Linked DNA regions of Anolis sagrei. The protein of the gene in region 1 interacts with the protein of each later gene in a pairwise test. Links are inferred from orthologs where the notes say so. Each region holds a gene or a part of one and is shown on either strand. Other genes may lie near its edges.

Region 1 (9,890 bases):
AGGGAGTTTAAGAGCAAGCATATGGTTCTCCCCATCCCTCCCATAAATTTCACAACAACCCTTAAATCTAATTTGAAGAAGAAATGGAGACTGCCGTAAGGTGACCAAATGAACTTCATGGCCAAAGCTGCTATCCTCACTTTGATGTTCAAAAGAAGCATCCAGTTTGATACAAGAACTGTTTTTAAATTGAATTATCATTGTTTCAATCATTGTTAATTGTAACTGTGGTTTTTTAATGTATTGTGTTAGCATCTAATGGCTGCCTGCTATAAGCTGCCCTAAGTCCTCCTTTGGAGGTGAGAAGGACAGGATATAAATGCTCGAAATAAATAAATAAGGACTGAATTAACATTTTCAGAGGGTTGGATTGGAAACTCAAGAAGGCAGATTTCCTCCCTGCTCTTCAGATACCCCATGCCTGTTACAGACACTCAGGACCTCATTGTATGTAAGCCCCCCCTCCCTCGGTTTCTACACACTACTAAAACATCATACAGTTCAAGGGGACCCCCACCTCTTGCCCATGCTGCTCTGTCTGTGAACTATCTCTGAAGTGTTCGGAAACAGGAATAACTGGAAAGCATCTTCTGAGCTCCTGATGCTCATGGAAATGGGAGAAAACAAGGAAAATATGTGAGATGGGATCTGTCAAATTTGCCTGTGTTGAATCACTTCAGTGACAGGGAGTAAGGGGTGTTCCCATGGATGGTTTCCTACCAAGCATTGACATTTCTCTCCCAAAATCCCACCTTATAAGCCTAGTATAATAACTTTTTTAAATTAATTTAATTGTTAGGAATACTGCAATTTGAAGATATCACCACTTTATTTTTCCTGTCATTTCTCCTTCACAGGAACCTTGGCTTTTGAAATTGCATTACTGCTAGCTTTTAAACTTTGATGTCCCTTTAAAAAAAAAACCAACTATAGTGAGTTCTAATGCCTAGTAGGTTTCGGAAATCTGCAATTGAGAGTAAGGAGATTGGGTGGGAAAGGAGAGGAGTGCAGAGAAAGGGTATCTGCCTTAAGAACAATGCCTTCAATCTCCTTGAGTATAAGGATATATTTCAATTGTTTAAGGTAAAAAATAGATTTGGCGCCACATATAAAGGCGCCACACACAACGCAAGCTAGTACCATGGGTTTGAGGTTTCTTGCAATTTCTATCATCATCATCATCATATTTATTTATACCCTGTTTCATCTCTCTGTAAAGGGACTCAAAGCGGCTTAATATAAAAGCATTAGTACACAATTTAAAATATACAAATATACAAACATTGAAACAGAATTAAATACAAACAGTATTACAAATTCACGGTTAAAAACCACTCAAACCTATTCAATGCATATACAAAGTTAAAATTCAATGTATGAACCAGATCGGGCCCTTAGATCAAATTCAATGTATGAACCAGATCGGGCCCTTAGATCTGCCGTGGAAGGCCTCCTTTAACTCCCACTACTGTCACAAGCACAATTGGTGGGGGCAAGGGAGAAGGCCTTCTCGGTGGTGGTCCCCCAACTTTGGATGGCCTCCCCAGAGAGACTAGGCAAGCCCCTACTCTGTCCTCCTTCCACAGGGACCTGAAAGCTTGGTGGTTCCAGCAGGCTTTCGAAAATTATTAGTCCCAGGCCCGTTCCTTGACCATCAGCTAGGACCCTGCTCTACACTTTATCCATTTCCCTGACCCTATGATACTCTATTGCCCTAGCCCTTATCCAGCCCTTTCATAGCTGACCATGCCCACTTTGCAATTCTGGCCATTGGTATTTTAATCCCGTTTGATGGAGTAAAATTGAAACTGGCTTTTAAATGTTTGTGACGGTTTTAATAGGATTTATGTTTATGTTTTATAATGTTTAATTTTGTATGGTTTTTCTTTTGACAACTGAATGTTCTGCCTTATTTTGGCAACCGCCCTGAATCCTCTTGGGGAGATAGGGTGGTATATAAATAAAGTATTATTATTATTATTATTATTATTATTCAAAGTTCTAAAGTGTGTTTATCCCCCACAATTCCCAAGTTGATTGGCAATCACCTTCTTTTTCAATCCCCCGTGCAGAGATGCACAAAAACATCAAATTTAACGTGTGATGGGAAATCATATCGCTTGTAAACATAACGATGATGCCATCATGGAAAGCTGAGTTGAGATGGGCAGTATTGATACCTTTCTTCCACTGTTACTGTTTTGGGACTGAAGAGGAAGGAACAGCAATTTATACCTCTTCTGAAACAACATAAATTAAATAGAGTTACCCTTCAAATTAGCTTAGAGAAGACAATGATGCCGAGGTAAATGGAAGGAAAAAGGAAGAGGAGCCAACCATGGACAAGATAGATGGATGGTATCCTTGAAGTGACTGGCTTGACCTTGAAGGAACTGGGGGTAGTGATGGCCGACTGGGAGCTCTGGTGTGGGCTGGTCCATGAAGTCACGACAAGTCAGAAGCGACTGAACGAATAAACAACAACCCTTCAAATTGAGAGCTATCAGTACTCATAAAAAGAAATTATAATATACCTTATACTTTTTTAATCCAAAGAAAACGGGGGAGGAGACAGTGGGAGGAGAAATATCGGTAATAGTATGATAGCTGGGTCCGGAAGCTCCGAGCGTTACGGAGATGCCGCATCGCTCCTTTGGGAGTGCTGTTTGCGCAAGAGAGACTTAGCTAATGTAAGCCAGGCCGGAGACAGATAATATAGAAGGAATGTAAGCGTTCTTTAATGGTGAAACCCTAAATCTTACCCTAACCCTTATGTTAACCCAAACCCTAGTTTACTCTAACCCTGAACCATACCCTAAGCCTAACCCCTTACACAAACCCTAAACCATACCTTAACCCTAACCTCTAGCCCTTACCATAATCCTAACCCAAACCCTAAACCTTGCCCTAAGCGTCCCCTCCTTTCTATCCTCCCTTTGCTCTCCCCCTCTCTTCCCTTATTCATAGCCTCCTTTGCGACATCTCTGCAACGCTCGAAGCTTCCGGACCCAGCTATCATACTATCACCAAAATATCTCTCCTGCATGATGGGAAGGCAAAAGGGATCATTTTAAAAAGAAAGCGGAAAGAGGGGAAACTGTGTGATGGGGTAGGAAAATCATCCATTTAATTTCCAAACGGGGTGTTGCGAAGCTTAAAGGGGAAAACATCGATCCCAAACACTTTACTTATCGCGTGAGATGAAGTCCATGGTCAATTCTCTGTTGTTTAAGAACTGAATCCCATGCAAAGAAGACGATTCTACATGCAAAGAAGACACTTTCCCCCGCTCCCTCTGATAGATGGGCCTCATCATACTACAGAATGAATCTGCTTTAAATCCGGTTGCTACCTCTTGCAGAATTCTGGGATTTGTAGTTTAGGGAGGAGACTTTAACAGCCTCACTAAACTACAAACCCCAGAATTCTGCAGGAGGCAGAGACAGGATTGAAAGTGGATTCATGAAGTAGGAAGTCCTTAGTATTTATCCTTGTGAGGAGTCAAATGAAAGGTGGCAATCCTGGGTTAGTAGGAACGTGGAATAGCCCAAAGGAAACAACACCACACATTGTGGGGACCGCCAAGCAGGAAAAGGGACATACCTGGGAAGTGGTTCCAAATAAAGCAAGGCCTCTGACCCTTCTGTTCCTCCTCCTCTGCTCAGCGACCCAACATGCCTTTCTCCCTCCCTTTTCACATGATACCTTTTAAAGTTTGACTTGGAGAGGCAGCCACATCCTCGCTGTGGATGCCTGCATTTCTAAGGGAGAGGCAAAACAGCAGAGAGACGCTGTCCCTTTAAGTCCGTTCAAGGGAGACGCCTGAGCGTGCATCTCACTCCCAGTTGAGTCCTATGGGTCCCTAGACCGTCCCTCCCTCGCTTAGGCCCGCCTCCTAGCGCAACTTCCGGCCGCCTTGCGCTGGGAAACATAGAGCTGTGATCATTCACATCCCAACACTGAACTCCAAGAGGGAGACATCAAGGGAGAATCTATCCACTTTCCAGACTGACTGCCTCCTGCAGAATTCTGGATTTTGTAGTTCAGGGAGGCCCAGGGTCTCACTAGCCGAGCCGTTTCAAGGCCCCTCCCTAAACTACAAACCCCAGAATTCCGCAGGAAAGTGGCTAGAGGTCCCGTCCTTCCCTGGTGATTCCGACAGAGGGCATTGGCGCACGATTTCTGGACCTTTAAATTTGCAATACTATACTTAAAATATTATCAAACTAGCTGTCCCCTGCCACGCATTGCTGTGGCCCAGTCTGGTGATCTGGAAAATAAAGTAATTAGAAAGTGTTAGTTTCTAATATATGTAATTTTTGTAATGCTTGTGGGTAAACAGTATTTTTTGCTGTTTCTTTGTCAGTGTTGATGTGGAGATTGTCTAGTTTGCCCACCCTGGAACATGCAACACATAATTGTCCTTCTTTAAGGGTCTCTTTCAAATCTATGATACTATATTTGTGTGTGTGGGTATCTCATATGTGTGTGTGTGTGTGTGTGTGTGAGGCTCTTTGTCAGGAGGGCATTGATTACGTTTTCTTGCCCTGGTGAAGGGAGTTGGACTGGCTGGCCTTTAAGTGTTTTCTATTTGTCAGGGGGGTTCTGTGTCGGAAGTTTGCTCCAATTCTGTCATTGGTGGGGGTCAGAATGCTCTTTGATTGTAGGTGAACTATAAATCCCAGTAACTACAACTTCCAAATGTCAAGGTCTATTTTCCCCAAACTCAATCTGTGTTCATATTTGGGCATATGGAATATTTGTGCCAAGTTTGGTCCATATCCATCATTGTTTGAGTCCACAGTGCTCTCTGGATGTTGGTGAACTACAACTCCCAAACTTAAGCTCAATGCCCACCAAACCCTTCTAGGGTTTTGCGTTGGTCATGGGAGCCCTGTGGTTCAGTTCCATCATTGGTGAAGTTTAGAATGCTCTTTGATTGTAGGTGAACTATAAATCCCAGCAACTCCAAGTCCCAAATGACAAAATCATTTTTAAGTGATGGTCACTCCTTGGGTGTCTTTTGGCCAAATTTGGGGGTAATATGTCAAGTGGTTTTTGAGTTAGGTTAATCCCACTAACAATCATTATATTTTTATTTATATAGGCTAGCCGTCCCCTGCCACACGTTGCTGTGGCCCAGTCTGGTGATCTGGAAAATAAAGTAATGAGAAAGTGTTGGTTTCTAATATATATGATTTCTTTCTACTTGAGGGTAAACATATTTCTTGCTGTTTCTTTGCCAGTGTTGATGTGGAGAGTGTCTGGTTTGCCTACTCTGGAAAATGCAACATATAATTGTCCTTCTTTAGGGGTCCCTTTCAAATCTATACTATATCTGTGTGTGTGTGTGAATCATATCTATCTATCTATATTTATGACTGGATGGCTCTTTGTCAGGAAGGCTTTGATTAAAATCCCCTTAGAGTAATAGTGTTTGGGAATCATTAGAAGAGAGCTTCCAACGAGGATGCAGAATGACTCCACGTACAGCTCTACTGACGCCTGAGCCTTTAACAGCAGGAGGCTCAATTCCGCCGGAAATCCCGCCCCCTCTTCCAAGCGGAAGTGCCTCCTTTAGGGAAGAGGGGGAGCCTAGGAGACTGCGCGTGGCTGCCAGTGATATATCCACGGAGAATAAAGGCGGCCTCTTCTCAAAGGCGCAGGGAAGTTTTTCTAACCCGTCATAAAAGAGCCATAGCTGTAAGTTAACCAACTGTTTGGGTCCAGGCCATGGGGAAGTAAGGCAGGAGTTAAAGGGAAGCGGATAGTAGGCCATTGCCTTTCCTCCATCCTCAGGCCATGGCACTTTGGGTGTGAAACTGCTCCTCTAGTCTTGCAAAGAACTGTTTTCCCTCCATACAAGCCACAAAAGAGGAGGAATGGGCGTTGGATTGTTGTAGGTTTTTTTTTCGGCCCATAGGGTCATGTTCTAGAAGCATTCTCTCCTGACGTTTCGCCTGCATCTATGGCAGGCATCCTCAGAGGTTGTGAGGTCTGGGTGTTATTCATCTTTCTGATTGGCCTTGGGCAATTGCATCTAGACATCTTTTTTTACACTCTTCTACATTAAATAATTTGAATTGTTGGAAGAGACCACAAGAGCCAACCTTCTTCCATAGAATCATAGAGTTTATTTTATTTCTTTTATTTATTTGGAGTGCTTCTACCCCGCCCTTCTCAACTCCCTAAGGGGGACTCAGGGCGGCTTACAAAAGGCACAATTCGATGCCCAACAGTTCACTTAATACAATATACAAAATACAATATAACGACAACAGTTATAACTAGTTAAAACAATCAAATTAATACAATAGCAGCAATAAAATCATCTTGTGGTCAACGTTCGCCAATTCATAAATCCATAATCCATCCAGCATTGTCATTGTCCTTTCCTACCCTGGTCGTCATCCATCTGCCAGCTTACCCAAAAGCCTGGTCCCATATCCAGGTTTTTAACTTCCTTCTGAAAGAGAGGAGGGATGTTGATGACCTAATTTCCCCGGGGAGTGCATTTCACAGGCAAGGGGCCACCACCGCGAAGGCCCTGTCCCTCGTCCCCACCAGTCTCACTTGTGATAAAGGTGGGGCCGAGAGTAGGGCCTCCCCGGAGGATCTTAAACTCCGAGGTGGGACGTAGAAGGAGATACGTTCGGACAGGTACGCTGGGCCGGAGCCGTATAGGGTTTTGTAGGTCAAAACCAGCACTTTGAATTGTGCTCAGAACTGGATCGGCGGCTAGTGGAGCTGACATAACAGGGGTGGTATGCTCCACCCCCCTGTTATGTCACCTCCACTGGCTGAGTTGGAAGAGACCTCATGGGCCATCCAGTCCATCCCCCTGCTAAGAAGCAGGAATATTGCATTCAAAGCACCCCTGACAGATGGCCATCCAGCCTCTGTTTAAAAGCCTCCAAAGAAGGAGCCTCCACCACACTCTGGGGCAGAGAGTTCCACTGCTGAATAGCTCTCACAGGTTCTTCCTCATGTTCAGATGGAACTCATAATCAAAGCACCCCCGACAGATGGCCATCCGGCCTCTGCTTAAAAAACCCCAGAGAAGGAGACCACCACACTCTGAAGCAGCATAACCACTGTCAAACAGCTCTTGACATCAGGATTGTGGAAGATTAGATATAAGCAGCCATTGTTGAACCATTACTATGCTACCATATAATCCAGTTCAAAGCATATAATCTGGATTGTATATGGCAGCGTAGATGGGGTCTATATTAACCACTCCTGTGTCCTAATGTTACCCACATCCTGGAAAGAGCCTTCTAGGCCAGGGCTCCTCAGACCCTTTAAACCGACGGCCAGTTCACTGTCCCTGAGCTGTTCAGTGTGTGTGTGTGGACTGTAGTTTGGAAAAAGCACTAATGGATTCCTACACACAATGCACATATATTTTAGTCCAAATAAACATAAAAGAGCAGTACAGTATTTAAAATGAAGACCAGATTTAGCATCAGTATTTCAATGGGAAATTGCCTGCTTTTGGCTGATGAAATAGACAAGTGAATTAGCATTGTTCTTGTTGTTGTGCATTTTCCCTTAGGGCGACCTTAACTCTAAAGTTTAGGATGGGAACCAGGTAAATGACCTTAGTTTGGAGACCCCTGTTCTAGATTGTCAACATTACATGCTTTTCCCAGCATAACACTATGTAACAAAATTTGAAAAAAAGTATGTTCCCCGTTTGAAAGTGCTATTTCCCATTTAATTGTATGGTACTTACTTTAAAGTAGTTGCTATACTCCAGAAACTTGTGGCTGTCACAAACTATGTTGAATTGGTTGAGACTCGATGAGATATTCATTGAAAAACTATTCTAGGAAAAAACTATAGTAATAAATGTTTTCCATGTTTTTATGACAGAACCAATTAGGAAATGATGTTTATATCCCAGGAACAAAAATCGTGTTATATATAGTGTAATAGCGCTTTTAACTAAAAACTCTTCTTTCGGTATTCTTTGCCTCCTTGTAGACAGCAAGCATGTAATTTAATATTTTTCTGTGTCCCTAAGAAGTTTCTGCCTTGTCTATGCCTGGCTCTTTCTAATTGGATGCATCTGCACTTATAGACGTTGTGAAGTTTGACATCACTTTCACTGCCATGGCTAAATGCTATAAATCCTGGCAGTCATAGTTTTATACAGGCAAAAGTGTTGGTGCCTCACTAAACTCAGCCCCCCAGGATTTCATAGCATTCAGCCATGGCTGTTACTGTGGTGTCATCCTGTGTTAATTCTATGGTATAAGTGCAACCTTTGCTTTATTGACAAGATAAAGACCCATCAGGCTTGGTGTCCAAAGGTACAGTTCACAACATGTAGGGTTATAGCAGTGTGGTTGAGCATCCCTTATCCAAAATTCTTGAAATCAGAAGTGTTTGCAAATACTTGCATATATGTCATGAAATATTGTGGCAATGGTCCTAGGTCTAAACATGAAATTAATGTGTGTTTCATTTATGCCTTATATAAATATGAAGGTAATTTAATGATTTTGTTCATGAAACAAAGCTTGTGCAGATTGAACATCAGAAAGCAACAATATCACTATTTCAGTTGCATGTGGATTTTGGAGTATTTTGAATTTCTGGATATGGGATGCTCATACGATATTACAACTACATAAGAGTATCCGTATGTTCTCCTTTCTCATTGATGCTATGATACTGGTGCTTGAGCTGGATAATGCCTCCATTTGAGGCTAAAGCATAACAAATAGTGATTCAAAAATGGTCAATTATATTCATTTCTCAAATTTTCTTGAAGGTAATATGATCTAATAGCATTTGAAGAATTGAATTCTGTTATTTTTCAAGATGGTAGTTTTCACCTGTAATGCTTGTGGAGAATCGGTGAAGAAGGGCCAGGTGGAAAAACATGTAAATATGTGCCGGAACTGTCAGTGTCTTTCTTGTATGGACTGTGGCAAAGATTTCTGGTAAGTAGAACCATACTCTTACTTCACTATTGATTAGAGGAAATTCACTTGCAGCACAGCAAGTCCATTTTCGCTAATGGTGCAATAAGATATAGATTCAGAACTCAGTTTGGATGTGACTAGTAAGATGGATCTTTTTTCTAAAGCAATCACTTTAGTTATTCTGAGGTTCAGGAACCAAGTTTTTAAGAAGTTAAACAAAAATAAATATCAACATTCTGTGTGGGTGTTTGAGTTTCTGTATTCAAGATATTTCTGTATCACTGTCTGCTGTAATTCACAAGAACTTTTGGTGCAATAAATAAAAGAAAGTAAAGCAGGACTAAGAAAACTTTTTTAAAAACTCATTAAGATGCTCTTTCAAAAGCATTTTAGAAACAATTCTGAAATTTAATTTTAAAACTACAATTTCCAACATTAGAAATTGTGCAGAACAGCACTGTTTTGACTGTTAGCTGAAAGTTCATGTAGTATGATTGCACTCATTCCCCATGTTGAAAAGATACTCATGCATGTTTTGTTATGATTTTGAAAATAATGCAGTTTGATTTGAAATCAATATAAAAGTAAATTGTTTTGTAGATGCCACAATATGTAGGCATGAAATAGAACTTGATAAAGCTGGAGGGGTGGTTTAATCTCTTTCCCTGTTGTCCTCAAAAAGAGGCTGGACAGCTACCTGCTGGAAATGCTTTAGCTGGAGATCTTGCACTGAGCAGAGTCCAAAATGTTCCTTCTAAGTCAGTGGTTCTCAACCTGTGGGTCCCCAGGTGTTTTGGCCTACATCTCCCAGAAATTCCAATCAATTTACCAACTGTTAAGATTTCTGGGAGTTGAAGGCCAAAACATCTGGGGACCCATAGGCTGAGAACCACTGTTCTAAATGTATGATTATATGATTCTTAACCAAAACCTGCTGAGACTCTTAGATGAAGA
Region 2 (10,429 bases), on another chromosome or scaffold:
GAGCCTTCCCAGGCAAAGCCTACTTTATTATCTTGTTTAATATAGTCTTTCATTTGTAAGTAATGTAACCATGTCATATTCTTATTTTTCTCCTTCAATTGTTCGTAAGACTTAATCTCCCCTGTATTCTCTTTTAAGATATCCTTATACGTTGGCCACGCTCTCCAGCCTAACAGTCTTCTTTGATGCGCCTCCATTGGTGAAACCCAAAGTGGCGTTTTGTTATAGAAAAGATTTTTATATTTTAACCACACTCTCAGCAAAGATGCTCTGGCGAAGTGATTCCCAAAATTCTTTTCCTTTTTCTCTCTTTCATACCACGTGTAGGCATGCCAGCCCACACGTAAATCATGGCCTTCTAAATTCAGACATTTTTCATTTTCTAATAACATCCAGTCTCTTATCCATAAGAGAGCACTTGAATCATGATATGCTTTCAGGTCTGGGAAACCTAGTCCTCCTCTTGTTTTTTTATCAATTAAGTTCATATACTTAATTCTAGGTCTTTTTCCGTCCCATACGAATTTCAGGAGTTCTTTATTCCAACTTTTAAAGGTTACTTGGCTTCTAATTACGGGAATATTTTGAAATAGAAATAGTAATAGTGCAAGTTTCTTTGATGTGCCAATTTCCAACACAATAGGCCCCAGCATCTCAAGACTTTGCTGCATCTTGGGGAGAGAGTTGTGGATTATAGTTTACTAGATTTTAGAAATGCTCTCATTTCAAAAATAGGTATGAATGCAACACAAAATCTCTCATACCTAAACCTACAAGAGCAGATTTGCTAAATCAGTCGCGGAAAGGTAAGATAATAGTTAAGTAAATTTCATTGATTTAATAGTTTTACTCTTGTTTCAAATTTCATTGATTTAATAGGTTTACTCATCAGACATGTCCCAACTCTGGCAGTCTTTAGGAGGAGCCTGAAAACGTGGTTGTTCCAATGTGCCTTCCCAGAATAAGGAAAACTCTCAGCAATATGCCCTCAAAATGCACTTTACCACTGATTTAGGACTGACTGCGTTCCCTCATATCTCCTTGAAAACCCTATACCAGTTATATCCTACCTTGTTCATGCCCAGCGTTATTTTTAAATGTTAAACTATTACATTTGGCCCACCCATAGGTTTTTAAATGCTTGTGTGTTACTGTTTATGGTTTATTGTTTATGTGATTTATATTAATTGTATTGTATTGACTGTTTTTGTTATTGCTTTTGTTTATTGATGTACTGTGGGCAGAGGCGGCCCTAGGTAATTTTCAATGGTAAGCAAGCAGTATTTTGGCGCCCCCCACCCCACCCCACCCTAACCAATCACTGATATATATTTTCTATTTGTCATGGGAGTTCTGTGTGCCGTATTTGGTTCAATTCAATCACTGGTGGAGTTCAGAATGCTCTTTGATTGTAGGTGAACTATACATCCCAGTAACTACAACTCGCAAATGTCAAGGTCTATTTTCCCCCAAGAGCGCTTCAAGAGCGCCCCTAGGCAAAATCAACTATACTGCAAATGCTTACTTTGCGTAATGGGTTGAGCCGCCCGACTGTGGGCTTGGTCTCATGTAAGCCGCACCGAGTCCCTTGGGGAGTTGGTAGCGGGGTATAAATAATAATAATAATAATTATTATTATTATTATTATTATTATTATTATTATTATGCTGCCAACTAAATTTAGGATTTAATAAGGTGGCCAGGATCTTGTCTGATCTTGGAAACTAAACAGGGCCGCCTCTAGTTAGTACTTGGATGGGACACTGACAACAAATACCAGGTGCTGTAGGCTATAATCCAGAGGAAGGAACTGGCAAAGCCACCTCTGAGTATTCCTTACCTGAGAAAACCCTATTAAATCCATGGGGTTACCATAAACTGACAAGCAACTTAATGGTGCAGCCACAATTAATTTAGGATCCATATTATGTGGCCTGAATAATCCCATGCAATGTTTCATAAAACGTGGGCTTCTTTGGATGTTAAACTTTACAGCAGTATTTCTCAACCTTCCTAATGCTGTGACCCCTTAATAGTTCCTCATGTTCTGGTGACACCCAACCATAACATTATTTTCATTGCTACTTCGTAACTGTTATTTTGCTACTGTTATGAATCATAATGTAAATATCTGATATGCAGAATGTATTGTCATTCACTGGACCAAATTTGGCACAAATACCCGATATATCCAAATTTTGAATACTGGTGGAGTTGGGCAGGGAATTGATTTTGTCATTTGGGAGTTGTAGTTGCTGGGATTTATAGTTCACCTACAATCAAAGAGCATTCTGAACCCCACCAACGATAGAATTGGGCCAAATTTCCTACAAAGAACTCTCATGACAACAGAAAATACTGTGTTGTCTGATGGTCTTTGGTGACCCCTCTGACACCCCCTCATGACCCCCTCAGGGGTCCTGACCCCCAGGTTGAGAAACACTGCTTTAAAACATAACAGAGAGTGGGTGTAACTGGGAAGAAGTTGTGATCACATTCTAGTTTAGGAGGGACAGTACTGGCACAGTTTCTGTAGACTTCTACATTCTCCAACTGCCCCCCCCCCCCCCGGCTGCCAAAAAAAAAAAAAAAAGGCAATATACAACATAGTCATGAAAAATAGTGAAGAAATCTAAGATTTTCCACTGAGGGCCAGAATACCAGCAAAGTATGAGCAAAGAGGGGGTTCACACCCTTTCTATCTAAAGCACATGTGCTCTGCTAAAATCGTGGGTTCGGATCCCTGAGTGTCAAGCCACCAAAGGACTGAATAAAATGCAGATAGACTGAAGGCAAAATCAGAGTCATTTATAAATCTTGGTCAACATTTATACCAGAAGAATCTGCGCTCCAAAGAAAGACATACAACTGCGAACAGATTTCTTTTTAATGTTTGACAGCTACTCAAAACAAAGGCACATTGCCACGTAGGCTACTGATTCATCTAGAGTGGCACCAGCTAGGATCCCTCTCCATTTTCTTCTTCACTGATTGACTCTGGTAATGGTGGGAAATTTAATAAACTGTCTTTGGATTATTTTTGAAGGCTTCTTGATCCGCCCATCAGAAGAATGCGCATGGAAAGAAATGTGATATGGCAAGGGATAATGGGCTGGGATGGGCTTTGATATCTCTGCTCTAGTCAATACAATGGGTGCCAGTGAGGTAAATAAAAGGGAGGTCAGGGTGTGGGCAAATTCAACTGGGACCCCAAGAAGGGGGTCCAACTTCAATAAAGGTGAGAAAACATTCTCAAGAATAGAATGAGATCACCCCATGGCTCACTTCTAAGCCCTTTATGCTTTCCGTGTGTCATCTCAGGGTATTGTGAAGAGGACTATGCAACTATTGTGTAGACATTCGCTGAGGTCTGAGACGTGTATGGTGCTTATGCAACATTTGTGTGTGTGTGTGTGGGGGTTGGTTAATGAAAGACTGAGGGCCTTCTCAGTGGTTGCCCCCCACCTCTGGAACGCCCTTCCAAGGGAAATAAGGCAGGCCCCATCCCTCCCCTCCTTTCGTAAGAGCTTGAAGACCTGGTGTTTTCAACAAGCCTTTGAAAATGACCAGTTCTAACTCAGCCCTACACATTGTCGAATGTGGCCTTATTCTTCCTACCAATTATCCAGATTCTTTCCTCTAATCGACCCCAGAATGAACAGCCACAGACCTGTACCTAATATTATTGTTGCCTGTCAACAAGGGGTTCCCTATCAATCCCTATGGAGCTGTGGACTCTAGGGTTTATCCTTTTGGGGATCTGGTTTTCAGTAACATATGCGTCAACTCTAGGCACATGAGTTAAATCCACACCACTATGCCACTTTATGTGCTCCTTCAGATACTGGGCTACAACTCTTTTATTACTCATCATTAGACACAATTACTCGAGCTGATGGGAGTTACAGTACAGTAACACCTGAAAGGCTGCAGTTTGTTCTGTTTAGTCGGGATATTGGGGTTGTGGATATAATGCCTGACTTTAAAATGTCATTTAACCCTTCCCCAATATTAGAGCCACAAGGGTTGTTGGGTTGCAATTCCCATTATCCCCAGTCCGCATGGTGGATAATCAAAAGTGATGGGTGTTGGTGTTCAATAACATCTGGGGACACAAACTGAGTAAAAACTAAAGAGCACTGACCAGTATGTAAAAAAACTGTATAGCTGGGCTCTCTTTATCCACTGATTCTCTGTCCATGAATTAAATAGCCCTTTGAAGTCAACCATAAGGCTAATGTGGCCCTCAGTGGAAATGAGTTTGATATCCCTGGTCTAAAGGATAAAGTTTGTTCTTCATCATCATCGCTATTCCAGATCTCCATTCTGTTAAGAGTTTATTAAAATAATAATAAACCCAAACTTCTAAAATATTAAGGATGCATTCATTGGGGTGGGGGGGGGGGGGAGGGTTAGATGATTTCCACTCCGGTGGGAAGCTTCCCATCAACAAGGTGAAGTATCATAGCGATGAAGATGGAGAATAAAGTCGGGGCGATAACACGTCCCTGTTTGACACCCGATTCCACCTTAAATGGTTACGCTCAAGCCTCCTTCCTTGAGAACCGCCTTCACCGAGCTGCGATTTCAAGTGATGCCTGATGCCAACCGCAGTGTTAGATGGTCGCTACCAAAATGTTCCCTGGGAAAACAGACTATGTATTTGTAGTCAATGTCAGGTAGAAGACATTGTGCATTACCTGTTAGTCTGCCCATTGTATAGCGACCCAAGGGAAAGACACCTGAAACCCTTGTTGACACAAGATGAAGGGAACTCTATTGCAGAAACAGTGCAGTTTCTACTGGGCGATACAAATGACTATGTAACCTACAAAGTAGCCCTTTTTGCTCGCTCTGCAAAAAAGATCAGAAAGACAGAGTTAGATAAAATTGCTATCAACTGCCAAGGAGATTTTAAGGGTTAACTGCCTTGGGCCCGTACAATAAACTATTTTGATTGATTGACCTTAAATGGGTCACTTTGGGAGCCACTGCTGTCCAAGACTGTTGCCATCATGTTCCTCTCACATATTTATACATGGCATATTTATACATGGCTATCCTATCTCCTCTCAGCCTTCTCTTCTTCAGGCTAAACATCTTCATAAGGCTTGTTCTCCAGACCCTTGATCATTTGTGCTAAGTTTGGTCCAGTGAATGAAAAGACATCCTGCCTATCAGGTATTTCATAGAATCATAGAATCAAAGAGTTGGAAGAGACCTCATGGGCCATCCAGTCCAACCCCCTGCCAAGAAGCAGGAATATTGCATTCAAATCATCCCTGACAGATGGCCATCCAGCCTCTGTTTAAAAGCTTCCAAAGAAGGAGCCTCCACCACACTCCAGGGCAGAGAGTTCCACTGCTGAACAGCTCTCACAGTCAGGAAGTTCTTCCTTGTGTTCAGATGGAATCTCCTCTCTTGTAGTTTGAAGCCATTGTTCCGTGTCCTAGTCTCCAAGGAAGCAGAAAACAAGCTTGCTCCCTCCTCCCTGTGGCTTCCCCTCACATATTTAATCATGTCTATCATATCTCCTCTCATCCTTCTCTTCTTCAGGCTAAACATGCCCAGCTCCCCAAGCCGCTCCTCATAGGGCTTGTTCTCCAGACCCTTGATCATTTTAGTCGCCCTCCTCTGGACACATTCCAGCTTGTCAATATCTCTCTGGAATTGTGGTGCCCAGAATTGGACACAATATTCCAGATGTGGTCTAACCAAAGCAGAATAGAGCATGGGGAGCATTACTTCCTTAGATCTAGACAGACACTATGCTCCTATTGATGCAGGCCAAAATCCCATTGGCTTGTTATGAATCGTATTTACACTACGATTCATAACAGAAGCAAAATCGCAGTTATGAAGTAGCAACGAAAATAATGTTACGCTTGGGGGGGGGGGGGTGTCAGCACAAGACGAGGCAGCGTCTTAAGGGGTGGCAGCGTGAGGAGGGTGGAGTGGCCGCCTGGCTGGGGTGGGAGGGCTGGGCTTGGCTCCGCCTGGCTGCGCTGGCCCCGGAAACACACGTGATGCGCGGGAGGGAGGGAACCGAGGGAGGCTTTCCCGGCCAGGAAGAAGAAGGAGAAGAAGAAGAAGCGATGGAGGCGGAAAAGGAGAAGGCGGAGGAAGAGGAGGAGGAAGAAGAAGAGGCAGGGAGCGGCGGCGTGGCGGCGGCTCAGCCCCAGGAGGGCAGCTTGGGCGCCGAGCCCGCCACCCAGGCCGAGGCGGAGAAGCAGCCGTCGCCATCGCAGTCGCCTCCCACCCCCACCAGGTCTGAGCCAAGGGCGGCGCCCGCGTGGAGAGAAGCACGGAGGGAGGGAGGGAGGGGGTTGCTCTCGCTGCTCCCATTCATTGCATCTCTCTCCCCCCACCCCCCAAAAATCCCCAATCTGATGTTGCAAGCTAAGTATCACCCACCCTGGTTAGGATTTAGGCGGGAGACCGTCCACCCACGAATGCAAAAGCGAGGAGATTTCACTCCCCCCCCTCCCACCACGCTTTAAGAGTACCTTGTGAAACTACAACTCCCAGCATTCCATGGGGTCAAATGCAATTAATTCTAGGTGCACCCTCGCGGTCTCCCTAAGGAAACCCTGTGCAATTCGCCATCTCAAGACACATGGGGTGAACTATATCCTCATTGCACTGCCATTATCATCTAGGTCATCAAAACAGATATTATCTGCGTTGAACTGGATTATAGGAGTCTCTATTGCAGTGGTTCTCAACCTGGGGGTCGGGACCCCTGGGGGGGGGTCATGAGGGGGTTTCAGAGGGGTCGCCAAAAACCATGCAAAAACGTATTTTCTGTTGGTCATAAGGGTTCCATGGGGGAAGTTTGGCCCAATACTATCATTGTTAGGGATCAGAATGATCTTTTATTGTAGGTCAGGGGTCCACAAACATTTTAAACAGAGGGCCAGATCACAGTTCCTCAAACTGTTGGAGGGCCGGATTATAATTTGGAAAAAAATGAATGAATTCCTATGCACGCTGGGCATATCTTATTTGTAGTGCAAAAACACTTAAAATACAATAATTAAAATGAAGAACAATTTTAACAAATAAAAACCTATTAGTATTTCAATGGGAAGTGTGGGCCTGCTTTTGGCTGATGAGATAGCATTGTTGTTGTTGTGTGCTTTCAAGTCTTTTCAGACTTAGACTGAGCGAGGGCCAGGTAAATTACCTTGGAGGGCCGCATCCGGCCCCCGGGCCTTAGTTTGAGGACCCCTGTTGTAGGTGAATTATAAATCCCAGCAACTAAAACTCTCAAATGCCAAGGTCTATTTTCCCCAAACTCCACCAGTGTTCATTCACATTGGGCATGTTGAGTATTCATGACAAGTTTGGTCCAGATCCATCATTATTTGAGTCCACAGTGCTCTCTGGATCTAGGTGAACTACAACTCCAAAACAAGGTCAGTGCCCATCAAACCCTTCCAGTATTTTCTATTGGTCACGGGAGTTCTCTGTATCAAGATTGGTTCAATTCCATCGTTGGAGTTCATAATGCTCTTTGAGTGTAGGTAAACTATAAATCCCAGCAACTACAACTCCCAAATGACAACATCAATCCCCTGCCAACCCCACCAGTATTCAAATTGGGGCATATCATGTATTTGTGCCAAATTTGGTCCAGTGAATGAAAATACATCCTGCATATCAGATATTTATATTATGATTAATAACAGTAGCAAAATTGTAGTTGTGAAGTAGCAACACAAATAATATTATTGTTGGGGGTCACCACAACATGAGGAACTGTATTAATTCAAAGCACCTCAGACAGATGGCCATCTAGCCTCTGTTTAAAAACCTCCAAAGAAGGAGCCTCCACCACACTCCGTGGCAGAGAGTTCCACTGCTGAACGGCTCTCACAGTCAGGAAGTTCTTCCTCATGTTGAGATGGAATCTCCTCTCTTGTAGTTTGAAGCCACTGTTCTGCGTCCTAGTCTCCAGGGAAGCAGAAAACAAGCTTGCTCCCTCCTCCCTTTGACTTCCTCTCACATATTTATACATGGCTATCATATCTCTTCTTCAGGCTAAACATGCCGAGCTCCTTAAGCCGCTCCTCATAGGGCTTGTTCTTCTATGGCAGTCAAGAAGGGTCCTATGTATTAAAACGACATATTCCTCCCAATCCCATCTGATCTTGGAAGCTGACCATATACACATTCCCCTCTCTTCTTTCTTGCCTTCTTTTTTTCCTTCCTCTCTCTCTCCTTTCTTTCTTCTTTCTGCCCTCTTTCTTCCCCCCCTTTCTCTTTCTTTTTCTTTTTCTCTTTCTCTTTCCCTTCCACACAGCCCTATATCCCAGAATATCACAGCAGATAATCCACAATATTTGCTTGAATAGGGTTATCTTAATCCACACTGTCATATAATCCAGTTCAATGTGGATTTTATACAGCTGTGTGGAAGGCCCCTTCTTTTCCTTTGTTTCTTTGCCTCCAGTCATATCTTTTTCTCTTTTCCTTTCACTTCTTTTTTTTTCCAGATCTTGGAAGCTGAACATAATCATCCCTGTTTAGAATCATAGGCTGGATCTACACTGCCATATAATCCAAGTTATCAAATCAAATAATCCAGATTATCTGCTTTGAACTGGATTTTATGAGTCTACACTGCCATTAATCCAGTTCAAAGGCTGGTTCTACACTGCCCTATAATCCAAGTTATCAAATAATCCAGATTATCTGCTTTGAACTGGATTTTATGAGTCTACACTGCCATGTAATCCAGTTCAAAGCAGATAATCTGGATTTTGTATTACAGTGTAAATTGGGCCATAGAGTTGGAAGTGACTCCACCAGGCATCCAGCCCTACCCCCTGCCACACAGGAAAAGCACAATCAAAACACCCCCGACAGATGACCATCCCATTCTTGGATGGGAGGCCACTAATGACTAGCATTACAATGCTCGGATAATGTGGGATTTTCTGCCTTTATATTCTGGATTATATGGCTGTGTGGAAGGGCTCTAAGGCATATGAATGAAAGTCCTTAATAGACATGTGATTTGTGTAATCACCATTCAGGTCTCAAACCGGTTCCAGGATTTCCTATGTAATCATCAGCATAGTGAAACTACTTTCTTCAGTACAGGTTTGAAACTACTGCAGAACCCAGTGATGCCCCTTCTACAGTGCCAAATAAAATCCAGGTTATCTGCTTTGAAATTGATTGTATGGCAGTTTGCACTCATATAATCCAGTTTAAAGCAGATAATGTGATTTTCTGATTTGATAGTCTGGACTGTATTGCAGAGTAAAAGGGGCCAGAGTTGATGCTAAATGGAACTCAGGGTACATCTACACTGTAGAATTATTATTATTATTATTATTATTATTATTATTATTATTAATAATTTATTTGTAGCCTGCTCTATCTCCCCAAGAGGAGAGGGAGCTTCCAACATAATAAAGGCAAACATTCAATGCCTGCATAAAACAAAAGTCAAATAAACAACAACAATAAAATACATTACACAAGTTAAAACAAGTAATTTAAATAATCAACATTTAAATCATTAAAAGTCAGCTAAGATAGCATATCAAGTCCATTTCCTTTCCATTCATCAATGTTGTGAACTCTATTCCTTCTTCTCATCATAGGCTTGAGAGCATAGGAATGTTTTAAGGTGCTTTTAAAAAATGGGTAAGGAGGGGGGCATTTTGATCTCCTTGGGGAGGGCATCCTAAAGATAGGGGGCAACCATCGAGAAGGCCCCCTCTCTCGTTCCTACCAGTCATGCTTGAGATAGGGGTGGGACCAAGAGTAGGGCCTCCTCAGTTGATCAAAGAGCCTGAGCAGAATTAATGCAGTCTGACACCACTTTAACCACCATTGTTCAATGCTGTGGAATTATAAGGATTGCAGCTTTGTCAAAGAAGGCTAAATAACTTGCTAAACTACAACTTCCATGATTCCACAGCAGTTAAGGTAGTGTCAAACTGCATTATGTCTTCAGTGTAGATGTACCCTAAGACCCCTTCTACAATGTCACATAAAATCCAGATTATCTGCTTTGAATTGGATTATATGGCAGTGTGGACTCAGATAACCCAGTTCAAAGCAGATAATGTGGATTATCTGCTTTGATAATCTGGATTATATGGCAGTGTCGAAGGGGCTAAAGTCTGAACCCAGTCAATGTGTTAAACGCACTAAAATGTAACTAGTTGAATAACTTAGGCCCCTTCCACACAGTTGTATAAAATCCACATTGGACAGTTTTATATGGTAGTGTGGACTCAGATAACCCAGTTCAAAGCAGATCCTGTGGATTATCTGCCTTGATATTCTTGGATATAGGGCTGTGTGGAAGGGCCCTTAGTGTTTTAAGCTTGGAAAAACTAAACTGAAGTACTAGTATCTCTTGTAGATAGGTTTTCCCCTTCCCTAAAACTGTCAAGAGGAAGAAAGC

Evidence for each region.
Region 2: the proteins of LYAR (region 1) and PRKRA interact in binary tests that used the Homo sapiens proteins (3 or more experiments, as listed by UniProt). The two-hybrid records come from large-scale screens. The link is inferred for Anolis sagrei from reciprocal best matches to the Homo sapiens genes LYAR and PRKRA.

What each region holds. Positions count from the first base shown.
Region 1 is NC_090025.1:106,647,466-106,657,355, forward strand, and holds the start of LYAR (cell growth-regulating nucleolar protein), read left to right. Parts: upstream 1-5,547; 5' UTR 5,548-5,703; intron 5,704-8,782; 5' UTR 8,783-8,832; coding exon 8,833-8,954; intron 8,955-9,890. UniProt on the Homo sapiens protein: Plays a role in the maintenance of the appropriate processing of 47S/45S pre-rRNA to 32S/30S pre-rRNAs and their subsequent processing to produce 18S and 28S rRNAs. Also acts at the level of transcription regulation.
Region 2 is NC_090021.1:189,755,305-189,765,733, forward strand, and holds the start of PRKRA (interferon-inducible double-stranded RNA-dependent protein kinase activator A), read left to right. Parts: upstream 1-6,011; 5' UTR 6,012-6,026; coding exon 6,027-6,268; intron 6,269-10,429. UniProt on the Homo sapiens protein: Activates EIF2AK2/PKR in the absence of double-stranded RNA (dsRNA), leading to phosphorylation of EIF2S1/EFI2-alpha and inhibition of translation and induction of apoptosis.